Linked DNA regions of Elephas maximus indicus. The protein of the gene in region 2 purifies or fractionates together with the protein of the main gene of each other region. This does not show direct contact. Links are inferred from orthologs where the notes say so. Each region holds a gene or a part of one and is shown on either strand. Other genes may lie near its edges. The genes, in order: FBXL3 and CRY1.

Region 1 (8,260 bases), on a different chromosome or scaffold from region 2:
TGCCTGTATCCATTTTACCTTAGACATATAAACAGAAATAAAACAACCGCCTTATTCACACAATTTTCTCTGTTAACACTTTGCTGGTCCTAACAACAAGTACTTACTTTGTCTATTACAGCCCTGTTCTAAACAACGTATATTTTAATACTTTTCCAAGTTGAGAAGGGGATAAAAACCTGAAAAATATTAAAAAGTATGCAATACTGGGATAATTGTATTTCTCTCAGCTGAGATATAAAAAGATTATATGATCACAAAAGTATATTTTAAGCATTTATTAGTTTATGAATAGCTGAACAAATATCTAAATTTTCATGTAATAGAACCGTAGTGTCATAATTTATTAGTACATTAGTATATAAACCTATCAAAAAAAGAGCATCTACAAATATAAGGCCAAATGCAGATAAAAACGTTCTCTGTATTATCTTCAGGGAGCCCTGGTGGTACAGTGGTTAAGAGCTTGGTTGCTAACCAAAAAAAAAAAGCCCACAGTTCAAACCCACCAGCCGCTCCTTGGAAACCGTACGAGGCAGTTCTACTCCATCCTATAGGGTCACTACGAGTTGGCACCCACTCGACAGCAACAGGTTTTTTGGTTATTATCTTCACATGCATAAAAATAAGAGAAGGGAGTGGACCCATAATAAAACTTCTAAATGTTGTTTTTTCCAGGTTGACTTCATCTATTCATGCAAAAATTTACAGTGCTTTCAAAAGCAGTTTATTATATCTATTTATACATCCACCAGTCTGCAAATGACTTACGTCAATGGACTTATTTATCTCCTACTTAAAACGCCTTTTATATTTGAAGAGGCGTGGAGCGGATGAGCTGGAAAATAAACGTCAATGAAACCCAGGCCTCTGCAGAGCCTTGGCAATTTAATTTCCAACTGCAACTTTTCCAAGTCCCGAATAATTAACGCAATTTAGGCCACTGCAGCTTTTGGTGAGAGACTATGAAGGGACAAAAAGCAACCTAATGAAGAAAAACTATAGCAGCCAACACAGGAAGTCACTGAGCCAACTCAACATTTCCATGTAACTCTGGAAAGGGCAGTCAAGTTGACCATCAAACAGATGAAGAGCAGAAGAGAACCCTGGCTGTGCACCCTCGTTTCAGGCACTTTTACATACGTTTGTTGTTGTTATGTGCCATCGAGTTGATTCTGACTCACAGCAAACCCATAGGACAACCCCATAAGGTTTCCATGGAGTGGCTGGTGGATTCAAACAACCAACCTTTTGGTTAGCAGCAAAGCTCCTAACCACTGTTAGGTGCTGTCAAGTCAATTTTAAACATACGACAACCCTATGTCACAGGGAACTGCCCCACAGGGTTTTCTTGACTGTAATCTTTATGGAAGCAGATTGCCTGGTCTTTCTCCCACAACTGGGACAGGGCTGGAACTGAGCAGCCAAACACTTAACCATTGCACCACCAGGGCTCCTTGTACATAAACTAAGCCAAACCAAACCCACTGTTACCGAGTTGATTCCGACTTATAGCCACCCTAAACGACAGACTGCTACGAGTAGGAATCGACTAGACCGCAGTGGGTTTTTGGGTATACAACAGAACATAATTGCCCCATAGGGTTTCCAAGGAGTGTGGCTGATGTTAGCGGCGGCATGCATAACTACTGAAACACCAGAGCTCCTTACCTACCCTGGGCATGTAATAATTTTAAAAGTTCGTTTGTATTTAGCTCTGGAAAACTAAAAGAGCCTGTTTCGGCATATTTCCTTTCCACTTATGTTCTGCTTTGACTAATTTCAAAATGCCTTCTTGAGCTGGAATACAAGAAAAGAAGAGTGGTAAGAGTTGAACTCTCAGAATTGGATGGCAGGGAGAACGTGGTGAAAAATGTCTCATGGTCATACGTACATACCTCGGAATTGGTGGCATTTTTAGAAATATCTCACCGATTGCAGAAACTACTTAACATTCAAGTTACAAAAAAAGATTCTAATTATTGGACGACAACTTCTGGCAGGGAGATTGACACCAATCATTTAGCGGGCTGCTCTGCCTGATCATTGTAACTGCAGCCTAAAAAAGGCTGCTCACGCCAAAAGTAGGCGCGAAGCTGCTCATCTCAAGTTGACCAAGTTTTCCACTCCGCTACGCGGCGCGGGCGTCGCCGCCTCCCCTCCGCCCTGCGCCACCTCCACGGATTGGACAGAGCTCGTGCGCTCTACCCTGGCAGTTTGTTTTGACGTTTTAATACTTCTAATTTCTCAAGTTACAAACCCGGCGTAGCCGTCGCCGGGAAGAGCTCCGCAGAAAGCGAGCTCCACGGTGCCTGTCACCAAACCCTGGTGCGGGTAGTAAAGCCGGGCGACAGCCGAGGCGAGCCCAGGGCGCGGCAGCGTCGCGGGGCGGGCTGCACGCGGCCGCCGCACACGCACCACGCCTTGTTGACATGTTTTGAAGACAGCACCGGAGGGAAACGCCCCCAAACAGGCTCCAATGTCTGGGCGCCGCCCGGCCTCCCGAGGGGCGGTCCGCGCGTGTCAGGGACCCCGCGCCCCTCCGCCCGTTCCTCTGCCCAGAAATGGCCGGTGGACCCTCCACTGACCCGCCTTTGCTACGGCGCTCCGGTCCTGCCCATCCGCCGTTACCTGCTGCCGTGGGCGGCTTCGCCCACACACCACCCCGGGCTCCGGGGACGGCGGCGGCGGCTGGTCCCGCGGCTCTCACATGAGGCCCCCAAGGCCCCCGGCTTCGCGCTCCCGTCGCCGCGGCCCCCCGCGCTCCGCCCGCATCCGAGGCGCTGGTCCCGCAGCGAGCGCCAACGCGGCTCCACCTTCGCGGCTCTGGCTGCCCAGGGAGAAGTCTTCCTTCTCAGCCTCACGCCGCCTACGTTTTTCTCCCAGGACCCCTTGTCACCGCAAGAGACACCCTCAGCGAGCTGCGGCCACCGCGTAGCTTCCCGGCGCTTCCGTCCAGACACTGAGTCCAAAATGGCGCCCGTAACTCGCGGCCGCGCGCTTTCCCCGGCGCCTCTCCGCCGGAGTGGGGCGGGCGCGCGTTCGCCACTGGCGCGCTCGCGGAGGGCGGGGAGGACAGGAGCGGGGCCGCGCCCACGTGGGAGCGCGCGCAGAAGCGGTCGAACGTCTGTGCCTCTCAGCTGTGTTCATCCGCCTCTTCTTTTCTAAAGGAGAGTCCGCCGCCTCCCTCTCAGCAGTGACTGCTACTTTTAGGGAATTTTTTGTTTGGGAGCAGACAGAGAGGGCTGGAGCTAGGTGGTTGTCCAAGAGACTGTCTGGGCTGAAAAGAAAGTTTAGGGAGTGGAACCGAGAAAAGAAAGGAAGGAGTGTCTCTAGAGTGTCTCTTGTAACTTGGCAGCCGGTTCCACCGGGCAGAAAGATAAACAGTACCTGTTGACAGCTGACACACTTCTCAGGGTGAGGTGTTGGCACTTGGGAGGGCCATGACTTGCGATCTGTAACCTTAGGGGTTAAAACCACAGGCTTTAAAAATACACAGGAGTCCTGGTGGTGCAGTGGTTAAGAGCCTGGCTGCTAACCAAAAGGTAAGCAATTCGAATCCACCAGCCGCTCCCAGGAAACCCTATGGGGGCAGTTCTACTCTATTCTGTAGGATCGCTGTCAGCATCGACTCCATGGCAATGGGTTTGGTTTTTTTGTTGTTTTAATACACAAACCTAATATATACGTAATTTTTTAAAATATTGCAATGAAACATACCAGAGTGGTAACCTGTTAACCCTGGAATTACAGAATGTTTTTTTATTTTTAAAATATTTGTATTTCCCAATTTTCCTGAAATGAGTTTTATAATCAGAGTTATTACTCTTTTAAAACCACCTCTGCTTTATGAAGTAGTTGAAGTCGTTGCCACTGAGTGGATTCTGACGCATGTTACAGAGTAGGACTCCATAGGATTTTGCAAGCAGATTGCCAGGCCTTTTTTTTTGAGGCACCAGTGGGTGGGTTTGAACTGCCAACCTTCAGGTTCGTAAACCAGAAGCTGTTGTTGCTGAGTCAAGTCCAACTCATTGTGACCCTATAGGACAGAGCAGAACTGCCCCATAGGGTTTCCAAGGCTGTAACCTTTATGGGTGCAGACTCACTTCTTTCTCCCACAGAGCCGCTAGTAGGTTTGAACCGTGGTCCACTTTTCGGTAGCAGCTGAGCGCTTAACCACAGCACCACCACCAGGGCTCCTTGTGAAGTAGATACCCAAACCAAAACTAAACTCATTGCGGTTGAGTGGATTCTGACGCACAGTGACCCTATAGGACAGAGTGGAACTGCTGTATAGGGTTTCCGGGGCTGTAAACCTTTACAGAAGCAGATTACCACATCTTTCTCCCACGGAGCAGCTGGTGGGTTTGAAATGCTAAACTGCCAACCTTCAGTTAGCAGCCAAGTGCTTAACCACTGCGCCTCCAAGGCTTCTATGAAGTAAAAAACTCCTGGAATTTATAAGTAGCTTTCTGAAACGTAACGGGAAAAGTAAAGTAAAGGAGCAGAGAGCTATTTGAAAGAAAACCTCTGGTGATGCTTTTTGTAAATCAAGGCATCTTTGTGTGTAACTGCTACCTAGTTAACTTGTTTTAAAAATTGAGATTTTGGGGTAGTGAGTTTTCCTAAAGCTAGAAATGTCCTATGTGCAAAAACATAACTGAATCATGCACTCTGCCTCCTCTACCCCATAAAACAAAGCAAAAGAAAGTAATTTTCCATCCCAAGACGTCTTCTGAACTATCTCGGCTGTGTGTAGGAGACTGATAGCAGTGATGTCCAGGGAAGCCTTCACTCCTCCCCTTCCCTCAAGAAATTGAGCTAAGAATTGATATTTAAAACAGCATTAAGATTCAGTGTGGGAAAATGACAGTCTTTTTTTTAAGGGCCTGACTATCAGGTCATCAAGGCAAACTACAAAATCTATAGCAACATAATAATGTAAAACCAAATCAAAACCCATTGCTGTCAAGTTGATTCCGACTCATAGCGACCAGGTACCTAAACTGCAACATTTTTTTAGGTCCCTCTGTGACTAGATGATGAGGGACAATAGAAAGTTCTAAGAAAGGCAAGAAAAACAGGCCCATTTCTTTAAAGCTAGGTTAAGAGTATAAATGATCAGCAAAATACATTAAACCAAATCAGCAAACATAACTAGAATATCACATTAGAGCTTTTACCCTCCAGCGTGGGTTTTCCCATTACAGGTTACCCTCCTCTCGTGCAAGACAAGGACCTTGACACACCTAACTCACTGAATGCTCCTTCTTCATCCTTGTAATTGTTATTTAAAACTTTTATTTCACCTTTTTTTCTTTTTTTATTGTGCTTTAAGTAGAAGTTTACCATCCAAGTCAGTTTCTCATACACACACATTGTTATATGGCCCTAGTTGCTTTCCCTGCAATGTGACAACTCCTCTCTACTCTGTATTTCCTGTGCCCATTCAGCCAGCTCCTGTCCCCTCTGCCGCCTCTCCTCGCCTCCAGACAGAAACTGCCCACATAGTCTCATGTGTCTACTTGAGCTAAGAAGCACACCCCTCACCGGTATCATTTTATGTCTTATAGTCCAGCCTAATCTTTGTCTAAAGAGCTGGCTTTGGGAATGTTCTAGTTTTTGGCTAACAGAGAGTCTGGGGGCCATGATCTCTGGGCTCCCTCCAGTCTTAGACCATTAAGTCTGGTCTTTTTACTGGAACTCGAGGTCTACATCCCACTTTTCTTCTGCTCCATCAGGGATTTTCTGTCGTGTTCCCTGTCAGGGCAGTCATCGGTGGAAGCCGGGCACCCTCTAGTTCTTCCAGTCTCAGGCTGATGGAGTCTCTGGCTTATGTGGCCCTTTCTGTCTCTTGGGCTCATATTTTCCTTCTGTCTTTGCTGTTGTTCATTTTCCTTTGCTCTAGGTGGTTTAAAACCAATTGATGCATCTTAGATGGCCGCTTGCTAGCTTTTAAGACCCCAGATGCTACTCACCAAGGTGGGATGCAGGACATTTTCTTAATATACTTTGTTATGCCAGTTGACCTAGATGTCCCCTGAAACCATGGTCCCCAGACCCCCTATGCCTGTACTGTCCCTCGAATTGTTTGGTTGTATTCAGGAAACTTCTTAGCTTTGGGTTTAGTCCAGTTGTGCTGACTTACCCTGTATTGTGTGTTGTCCTTCCCTTCACCTAAAATAATTCTTGTCTACCGTCTGATTAGCGAATATCTCTCTCCCTCCCCACCCCCGTAACCATCAAAGAATGGTTTCTTCTCTATTTCACCTTTTTAAAAGAAGAAACTTGTGCTTATTTTTGAAGCAGACAATCCTTACTTACATTTATCAGTCGTATTAGTCAAGGTCAGTGGCATAGGAGTTGTGGGGGGCTGGTTAACTGTGGAGGAGTTTGGTGCAGCAGGGAAGAAAATTTTATTACTGATCTTATTTAGAATTGCCAGTGCATGGTGATAGTAAAAAGCGGGCTGATTTTTAGTCATTTTTTTCAAATTGTTTTTAAATTCTCCAGGGCAGACAACCCCCACCATAACCTTCACCTTGGTACACTGCTGGTCAGGATGGCTCAGGTGATGCTGCCCTAGTTCCTTATGCACAGCCTTGTAATTCCTTGTTTTTGATGACTTTCACACTGTTAAGGAGTACTGGTCCAGTATTTGTAGGATGTACCGTAATTGTTTTTTGTTTTGTTTTGTTTTCTGACTAGACCCATGGTTTTCAATTCTCAAAAAGGTTTTTTTTTTTTTTTAACTCGGAGTTTGCTGTTCTTCTCCATGTGCCCTAGGCCAGCCATTCCTCAAGGAGGATGAAGATATTCAAAATTCTTGCTTTATGCAGGGATCTCAGTTATCACTTCTCCTACAAACTCATCTCCTGTCCCTCCCTGACATTAAAACCCAAGCCACTATCTCTTCAAATAGTCCTTTGCCACCAATTCTTCTATTTTGATCTTAAGCTCTTTATGTTTTGTCCTTTCAATTTATCTTCGACATTTAGTTGTCCTTTCATGTTTTTATCTTTTTCTTTCTTTGTGTATTGCCTTTCTTTCAACTCATTGATTTTCTCTTTGTCTCCTTCTAGAGTTTCTACCAGCTATTGAACATTTCATTCCCCAAATTTCTAATTTGTTCTTATATCCATCTAGTTTTTAAATCATTTAAAAATGATTTTTATTCCTTCTTTATCTTTGAGGACCCTAAACATTTCAATTTTGAGGTCATTTATATATTGTAGTATTATTTCCAATTTGTTTGAAGTAAATTTGTCCCTAATTATTAATTTTGCTGGCTGCTATTCTCATCCTTGCTTTTCTCCATCAGTTTTGAAATGTTAACCTGCAAGCTTATGTTGAGAACAAAAGATTTCTTTGTTTATCATTCTTTCTGTGCCCTCTCCTTTCTCCATCTCTCTCTACACTTGTGTGAATGCCTCCACTTGGCCACTCAGACCCTCAGTCTAGGGCCACTCAGACTCTCAGTCTAGGGCAGGTCTTATATTCGTGTTTCTGAGTCTCCAGTCTATTATCTTGCAGGCCCAGCAACTGAAGCAAAGGGCAACTTGTGTCCTGTACTGCCTGGGAAGCTGTGTGTGTGTCCTCTTCCCTCGCGGGCACACATTTCCTATCAGCCAGAACTGTAGGCACCAACTTTTTAAACCTGCTGTATAGTTAGAGATTCACAACAAGCTTCTGGTTTTAGGCAGTGACACAGGCTCTGTTCTCCTGCCTCATAGAGGTGCTCTATCCCCCGCTCCCCTACCATGGCGGTACCTGCTTCCATACCTATACCATGGCAAGTCTACTTCAAAACCAGTCACTGCTTTGTATGGATGTGCCTTTTAGATACACAAAAGTATTTTCTTTTTCTGAATCTCCCTTTTTAATATTAAATTTTTATAGCAAACCTATTATTGCTATGTATTTAATAGTGGGAAACTCAAAACACAAATTCCAAACACCTCCTTGACGGGAAATCCTGCTGTGATAGTGTTTCCAGCTTTTATTGACTTGAAATTTTGAAAGTATAGTTATAGTTAACTCTTCTGTCTGCTTGACTTCCAGCATTTAATTCATGCTTAGAGCCTGTTTCCCACGTCTTGCGTACTTGCTCCATTCTTTTGGTGCCAAAAAAAAAAAAAAAAAAAAAAAAACCAACACCTAAATTCAGATTTTCTCTCTGCATGCCAGCTTAAGTCCCAAATCTACTCGTTAGTTCCCGAAGTTCTAATTTACTTTGCTTCTAACTACATACAATAAATAA
Region 2 (8,032 bases):
GAAAGGAATTACTATATTATTGTAAGATATTATTATTAATACACTATATTAATTTTATCATCTTTTTCCAGGATCACCGTTTAATGATGTAATTTCTGCTAATGAAAAACTGTTGTACATATGGTTGCTGTTTCATTCCCATCAGCACACAAACATATTGTAACTTCTCTCATTTAGAAAAAGTCCTCTTGACTTCACATCCCCTCACACCATTTCTCTCTCTGATTCTCTTAGAGCAAAACCCCTTGAAATCAAGAGCTGTCTATGTGAGTTGTCTCCAACTCCTCTCAACAACTTCTCACCACATCACCATTATCACCATGGACCAAGCCATTATCGTCGCTCACCTGGATGAGTGCAACAGCTCCTAACTGGTCTCCCGGCTTTTTGTCCACCTCTACCCCTTTACCCTCAGTTCAGTCTATTCTCAGAACCACAGCCAGAGAAATTGTTTTCAATCTTAAGTCAGATGACATCACTTCTCTGCTCACAACCCTGCAATTATTCCTATTTCACCCAGAGTAAAAGCCCAAATCTTAACAACTGTCTACAAAGTTCTACTCAATTGGTCCTATCATATCTCTGGCTTCTTCTCCTACTACTTTTCCCCTCACTTATTCTGTTCTGAAATCATATTGGCTTCTTCTGCTGTTCCTCAAAGGTCACATTTCCACCTCAGGGCCTTTTCCTTTAGTGTTCCCTCTGCCTGGAATGCTCTTCCCCCTGGATATTCATATTTCATCACCTCTTTTTGGAAACCCTGGTGGCGTAGTGGTTAAGTGCTACGGCTGCTAACCAAAAAGGTCGGCAATTCGAATCCACCAGGCGCTCCTTGGAAACTCACGGGGCAGTTCTACTCTGTCCTGTAGGGTCGCTATGAGTTGGAATCGACTTGATGGCCGTGGGTTTGGGTGTTTTTGGGTTCAAGTGTTTGCTCAAATGCCACCTTTGAGCGAACCTGTGAGCTTTTCCCTGATCACATTTTAAATTGCATCCCCAACTCCGTATTCCTTAAACCTTTTCTCTGCTCTGTTTTTCTCCACGACACTTACCATCACCTAAAATACTATGTATTTTATTTCCAGGGACATAAACTCAAAGAGGACAGAAATTTTAGTCTATTTTTCTTACTGTTATACCGCTAGCATTTAAAGCAGTACCTGGCGTATGACAGGTGATCAATAATGTTTGCATGAATTATTTCATGTCTATCAGGGAGCCTAACAAATCACCTAGCCTGGTATTCCAGGAAAAGATCATCAAGCTTCTCTAAGATTTCTCCCAGTTCTCTGATCCCTAGAAGGATTATACTTCGCCTAGAAAGAAAAAGTGTGCTTTGTCTCCTCAGCCACAAGGAGGAGTTGGGAGGAGCTGAGCAAAGGAAACGAGAAAATGCTGCTTCCTTGCTTTTCCTATGGTTGCCTCAAGGTGGAAGAAAACTGGACTTGAAAACCCTGGTGGCGTAGTGGTTAAGTGCTACCGCTGCTAACCAAAAGGTCGGCAGTTCAAATCCATCTGGATGTTCTTGAAAACTCTGTTGGGCAGCTCTACCCGTCCTATAGGGTCACTATTAGTCAGATTGGACTAGACAACAATAGGTTTTTTTTTTTTTTTTTGGTTTGGTAGTTTAAAGGAATGATTTTCTCAATACTAACAGCTACCTTGGAGCCCTGGTGGTGCAGTGGTTAACAGCTCGGCTGCTAACCAAAAGGTCAGCAGTTCGAATCCACCAGCCGCTCCTTGGAAACCCTATGGGGCAGTTCTACCCCGTCCAATAGGGTCGCTATAAGTCGGATTCGACTCGACAGCAACGGGTTTTTTTTGTTGTCGTTGTTATTTACCTATATTCACACAAACGTAAATATTAAAAGCCACAATCCTTTCGAACACCACACAGAGGGCAACGAAATCAACCCACAGGCCATTAAGGATGAAAAGAGTGTTTCTTTAGCTCCACCACTAAGAATTCTCCATAAATTCGAGGGCAGAGCTTCTATTACCACTCACAGCTGAAGGCCAAGGGGTCCCAGCTGGTCAACACTCTCTAGCCAATTCCCCTGGATGTTTACATGAAACAGCTACAGTTCTTAAACGTTACAAGCAAGGCGCTCCCAGGGCTAAATTTCTCAGACTTGGCCGATCGCAGAGAAGGTCCTGAGTGACCAAACACACATTAACGCCACTCGGGGGATGGACTCACCGCCACCTGTTGATCCCCACGTTAGACGAGCCGGCGAACCAGGGGTCGAGGATGTAGACGCAGCGGATGGTGTCGGCGCCCTGAATGCACTCCTTCAGGGCGGGGTTGTCGTGCAGCCGGAGCCCCTTTCGGAACCAGTGCACGGCGTTCACCCCCATCCCGGCGGCCAGCGGGTCAGCGCCGAGTTCCTCCAGAGAGAATTTCAAGCAAGCAAGGTCCGGCTCATAGCCGACCCCTTCGCTTCCAGGAGAATCGCCAAGCCCAAGGAGTAAGAAAGGGCGGCAGAGGGGGGACAGGAAAAAATGAATCCGAGGAGGGGACGTGCGAAGGAGAGGGCGCTGGAGGCGCAGTTGGAAGATGAATGGAGGCTGCCCAGCCCGGGTGTGACGCCCTTTAGGACCCGGCGCAGGCCTCAACCGCCTGGAGGAGACGCATAACTTCGACGGCCTCGGAACCCCCGAGGGTGAGCAAGTTCCAGGAGCGCGAGCCGCCACGACGGCCCGAGAAGGCAAAGGCGGCCCCAGAAGGTTCGTCACGGAAGCCTCGCCCCACCAAGGCTGCCCTCGAGGAGAAAACGGCCCGGCGCAGGTGAGTCACCCAGAGAAATGAGAGAGGATTCGGCCACTGTCAGGAACTCTGCCTCGCGGCCCGGGACAAACGAACGAGGACGAAGGCGGTGGTCGAGGACGCTGGACGGTTGCCGGCCAGTGACCAGTCCCGAGGCTGCCCGGGTGATTCCGCCGCCGCCGCCGCCGACGCGTCAGCGGCCTCGGCCCCGCCCCCGGCTCCTCATTGGCGAGCACACTCCCCACGTGACCACCGGCACCTCACGTTTCTGAAGTGTGTTTACTACACCGGCTCTGGCTGAGGAATCTTCTCGTGTTTCGATCACTTCCGGAGAGCAGCAGCAGCTCCAGACTGTAGATCCTCGCCCCAGTGCTGGGATCCCTGCCTCTGGCCCTTTCCTCGGCCGTCTGGTCGCGGTCCCCACAGGCGCCAGCGATGACCACAGGCCCCATGTGAGGGAAGGCTTGGCTCCGCCCCCGGGGGCCGTGAGCGGCCACTATTGGCTGAGGCTCGCTGAGGCCCGGATGAGCACGGGGATGCGGGGAGCTCGCGGGCACGCGCTCAGCACTGGGAGGCGCGCGTGCGCTCTCTCTGCGTCCCTGCGGTCTGGAGCGCGCAGGGCGATTCCTTCCGTAGGGCGGTGGGAGGCCGGGAAGGCGGCCCTCTGGGAGTCAACCGTGAAGCCTGGCCAGGAGAAGGGGAGATTGGGGTGGAAGCAGGAGTTTGGGAGGCTCCACTTAGACTTCCAGCCCAAACCATGTGCTTCGGTCCAGCTTTGGTCGGAGAGCCCTGCTTTGGCGTGTCTATAACTGGCGCTCCTACCATTCTGTGCGTCTGTGGCGCGGTACGCTTGGACTCCGACAGTGATGTGTCGATTTACCTGTTCCTGATGCGGCCCTTGCCTGCCTTTGTAGAGATAATGGACTGTGGGCCATGTCATTTCTTGAACACATGATGGCCTTGTATTCATTCAACAATTACTTACTGAGAGCCTGTTATGTGCCAGACATTTTCAAGGCTCAGGGGGCGGGGGGTACAAGAGAGAATACCAGAAAAACCCAAATCGCTTGCCATTGATTGGATTCCTGCTCATGGTGACCCCACGTGTGTCAGTAGAACTGTGCTCCGTAAAAGAGACAAAAACCACAGCCCTCCTGAAGCCTGCAATCTGTGACTCCTAACTTGTGAGGTTGCTATTCTTTTTGTCTCTATAAAAATATCCTTTGGAACCTGCTGCTTACTATAACCAACTTTGAGCTACCTAGTGTATTTCTACACATCCCTTTAGACTCAGATGAAGTGTTACCTAATTTGTGAAATTATTTCTGACTCCCAGGGTGGGTTTAGGGCCTCCCCCTCAGCCCTCCACACATGTGTCTGATACATCACTTAATACACTGTAAAACCTAAACCTAGTGTGGTGTAGTGTTTAAGTGCTATGGCTGGTAACCAAAGGGCCGGCAGTTCGAATCCACCAGGTGCTCCTTGGAAACTCTATGGGGCAGTTCTGCCCTGTCGTATAGGGTCACTATGAGTCAGAATTGACTCGACAGCACTGGGCTGGTTCAGATCCTTGGAAACACTGTGGGGCAGTTCTACTCTGTCCTGTAGTGTTGCTATGAGTTGGAATCAACTCAACTGCAAGGGGTTTGGTGTTTGGTTTTACTGTAGTACCTAAGGCTCTTGGGTGGCCCAAACGTTTTGAGGTTGGCCACGAACCAAAAGGATGCCAGTTCAAACCCACCCAGTGGTGCCTTGAAAGAAAGGCCTGACGATCAGCTTCTGTAAAGATTCCAAACCAAACCAAAAAATCAAACCCAGTGTTATAGAACAGAGTAGAGCTGACCCGTAGGGCTTCCAAGGAGCAGCTGGTGGATTTGAACTGCCAATCTTTTGATTAGCAGCCAAGCTTTTAACCACTGCACCACCACCACCACACACACCACATACATTGCTGTTGAGTCAATTCGGACTTATAGCAACCCTATAGGACAGGGTATAACTGCCCCATAGGGTTTACAAGGAGCTCCTGATGGATTTGAACTGCCAACCTTTTGGTTTGCAGCCATAGCTCTTAGTCACTACACCACCAGGGTTTCTACTACACCACCAGGGCTCTGTAAAGATTAAAAAAAAAGAAAAACCAAACCTATTGCTGTTGAGTCCGGCCCATAGCGACCCTATAGGACAGAGAAGAATCGCCCCATAGAGTTTCCAAAGAGTGCCTGGTTGATTTGAACTGCCGACCTTTTTGGTTAGCAGACATAGCTCTTAATCACTACACCACCAGGGTTTCCATAAAGATTAGGGCCAAGGAAACCCTATGGAGCTTATTTCTCTGTAGCACATGGGGAAGCCATGTGTTGAAACTGACTTGTCAGCCATGGATTTGGGTTTTTTTTTTTTTTTTTTGGTATTCTCTACTGTATCCTCAGCATGTTGTACCTAGTAGGAAGACAGTGCTCAGTAATATAGTGTCTCTGACTCCATTAAAGTTTGACTTCCTAAGGGCAAGGTTTCTGTCTAGTTCATCTTTTTGCATCATCAACACCTAGTCCAGACCCTGACGTTTATACACTAAAATGTTTGTTGAATGAATGAATGTATATTGTTTGCCACCAGTTTGGGTGGCAAGGTTAAAAGGAAGAAGGAAATGGCAATAAAGTAAATTAAGTCATCTAAAAAGCCAATATGTCTAAACACTCTTCCCTACCCCTGTTGCCACGGGGAGGGTATATCATCCTTTCTTTGCTTTCTGTTGTCGTTGGGCGCCATTGAGTCGGTTCTGACCCATAGTGACCCTGTGTGCAACAGAACAATAACATTGCTTGGTCCTACACCATCCTAACAATTGTTGCAGCATTTGAACCTATTGTTGCAGCCGGTGTGTCAATCCATCTCATTGAGGGTCTTCCTCTTTTTTGTTGACCTCTACTTTACCAAGCCCTGATGGCATAGTGGTTAAGAGCTTGGCTGCTAACCAAAAAGTTAGCAGTTCAGATCCAACAGCCACCCCTTGGAAACCCTATGGGGCAGTTGTACTCTGCCCTGTAGGGTCATTATGAATCAGAATTGACTCGACAGCAATGGGTTTGGTGTTTTTGGTTCCTACTTTATCAAGCATGATGTCCTTCAAGGACTGGTCTCTCCTGATAACATGTACAAAGTATGTGAGACAAAGTCTCACCATCCTCCCTTCTAGGGAACATTCTGGCTGTACTTCTTCCAAAGTTTATTCATTCTTCTGGCAGTCCATGTTTTGTTGTTGCTGTTGGGTGCTGTTGGGTTGGTTCCTACTCATAGGAATGAGACACTGCCCGGTCTTGCACTATCCTCACAGTCATTGCTATGTTTGGGCCCATTGTTGCAGCCACTGTGTCAGTCCCTCTCACTGAGGGTCTTCCTCTTTTTTGCTGACCCTCTACTTTACCAAGCATGATGTCCTTTTCCAGGAACTGGTCCCTCCTGATAACATGTCCAAAGTATGTGAGATGAACTCTAGCCATCCTTGCTTCTAAGCACCATTTTGGCTGTAGTTCTTCTAAGACAGGTTTTTTTTGTTCTTCTGGCAGTCCTTGGTATTTTCAATATTTTTTGCCAACACTGTAATTCAAGGGCATCATTTCTTCTTGTCTCCTTTATTCATTGTTCAGCTTTTGCATGTATATGAGGTGATTGAAAATACCATGGCTTGGGTCATGTCCTCAAAGTGACATCTTTGCTTTTTATTGCTTTGAAGAGGTCTTTTGCAATTTGCCCAGTGCAATACATTGTTTCATTTCTTGACTGCTGCTTCCATGGACATTGATTGTGGCGCTGAGTTAAAAGAAATCCTTGACAACTTTAAAATATTTTCTCCATTTATCATGATGTTGCTTATTGGCCCACTTGTGAGGATTTTTGTTTTCTTTATGTTGAGGTGTAATCCATACTGAAGGCTGTAGTCTCTGATCTTCGTCAGTAAGTGCTTCAAGTTCTCTTGCTTTCAGCAAGCAAAGTTGTGCCTTCAGCGTATCACAGGTTGTTAATGAGTCTTCCTCCAATCCCGCTGCCATGTTCTTCTTCATATAGTCCAGCTTCTCAGATTATTTGCCAGCATACAGGTTGAATAAGTACAGTGAAAGGATACAACCCTGATACCAGGGATGGACTACCCAATAAGCAAGGTAAACACGTGCTGAGGGCAACAAGAAACAGAGGCACCATTTGCCCAAAGCAAAGACCTATAGATGCCAAGCAGACGGGACACAGGAAGAGTGACCACTGCAGTGGAAGGGAACTGGCAGGGAACTAAATGAAATTGACAAAAGCTACAGTTCATCTCATTCCACTAAAATGGCATACATCACCTTTGCTTTCAATCGCAAATGTTATAGTCACGTTTAAAAAGAAATTACATCATAGATAGCTGAGACACACACATGTGTAATGTGTATATATAACTCATATATCCCTTTGGAATGTGTGAATAAGCAGAGGAGGAGGCACCACAGATTATCCGTGTTTAGGGTCCTCACATGCCTTAATCTGGCCCTGCCTGCTGCACACCTTTCCTGATTTTAAACCATGTAGTATCCTCTTGTTCTGTTTGAATGACCGCCTCTTGGTCATTCATGAGCATGATTAAGTGTTTTGGAATTCCCATTCTTTGAAATCTTATCCATTTTTGTTATTATCTACACAGTCAGATGCCTTTGTTTTATAGAAGAATATTTAAAATTATATGCAGTCATGTGCTGTATAACATCCATTTGGGCAATGTCCGACTGCATATGCATTCATGGCCCCATAAGGGTTTTTTTTTTTTTTAAGGGAAAGCAGCTCTCCTTTTGTTTATTATTTCCTCCTAATGGTTTTAAAGACCCCAGACTCCCAGAGTAAATGAGCTGGAGAGCTCCAGGGTGCATCTCAATCCCAGAAGAGCTTCCTCCTTCATCTCCTTCCCCTCCTCCTGGCCATTCACAGGCCCAGCAGCCACGCAGCTGTTCGCTCCCAGCAAACCTGCTGAGGCTGCTTTGCTCCTGGTCCAGGTGGCTGTAGCAGCTGCACCAGCAGAGTGGGGCAGCCAGGGTCTGCCACTGCCAGCCATGCACCAGGCACCTGCACAGCTGCTCCCTGCCTGGTCCCCACAGCCACTTCTCCCTGCTGCTGTGCACCCCTCCCCCCGCTGCCCTGCCCTGTGCCTGGAGGTGTGCAAAGCCTCAATCTGACTGCTAGCGCAGCCCCCACCTGGCCCCCAGTCGCACATCCGTGGGCCTCCTGTAC

What was found.
Region 1: the proteins of CRY1 (region 2) and FBXL3 purify together in Homo sapiens (affinity purification with mass spectrometry; 4 studies listed by BioGRID and IntAct, counting the BioPlex papers as one, with this or other methods). This does not show direct contact. The link is inferred for Elephas maximus indicus from reciprocal best matches to the Homo sapiens genes CRY1 and FBXL3.

The regions. Positions count from the first base shown.
Region 1 is NC_064832.1:70,175,758-70,184,017, forward strand, and holds the start of FBXL3 (F-box/LRR-repeat protein 3), read right to left. Parts: upstream 3,040-8,260; 5' UTR 2,632-3,039; exon of another isoform or gene 2,589-2,631; intron 1-2,588. UniProt on the Homo sapiens protein: Substrate-recognition component of the SCF(FBXL3) E3 ubiquitin ligase complex involved in circadian rhythm function. Plays a key role in the maintenance of both the speed and the robustness of the circadian clock oscillation.
Region 2 is NC_064822.1:174,245,186-174,253,217, forward strand, and holds the start of CRY1 (cryptochrome-1), read right to left. Parts: upstream 3,231-8,032; 5' UTR 2,359-3,230; coding exon 2,201-2,358; intron 1-2,200.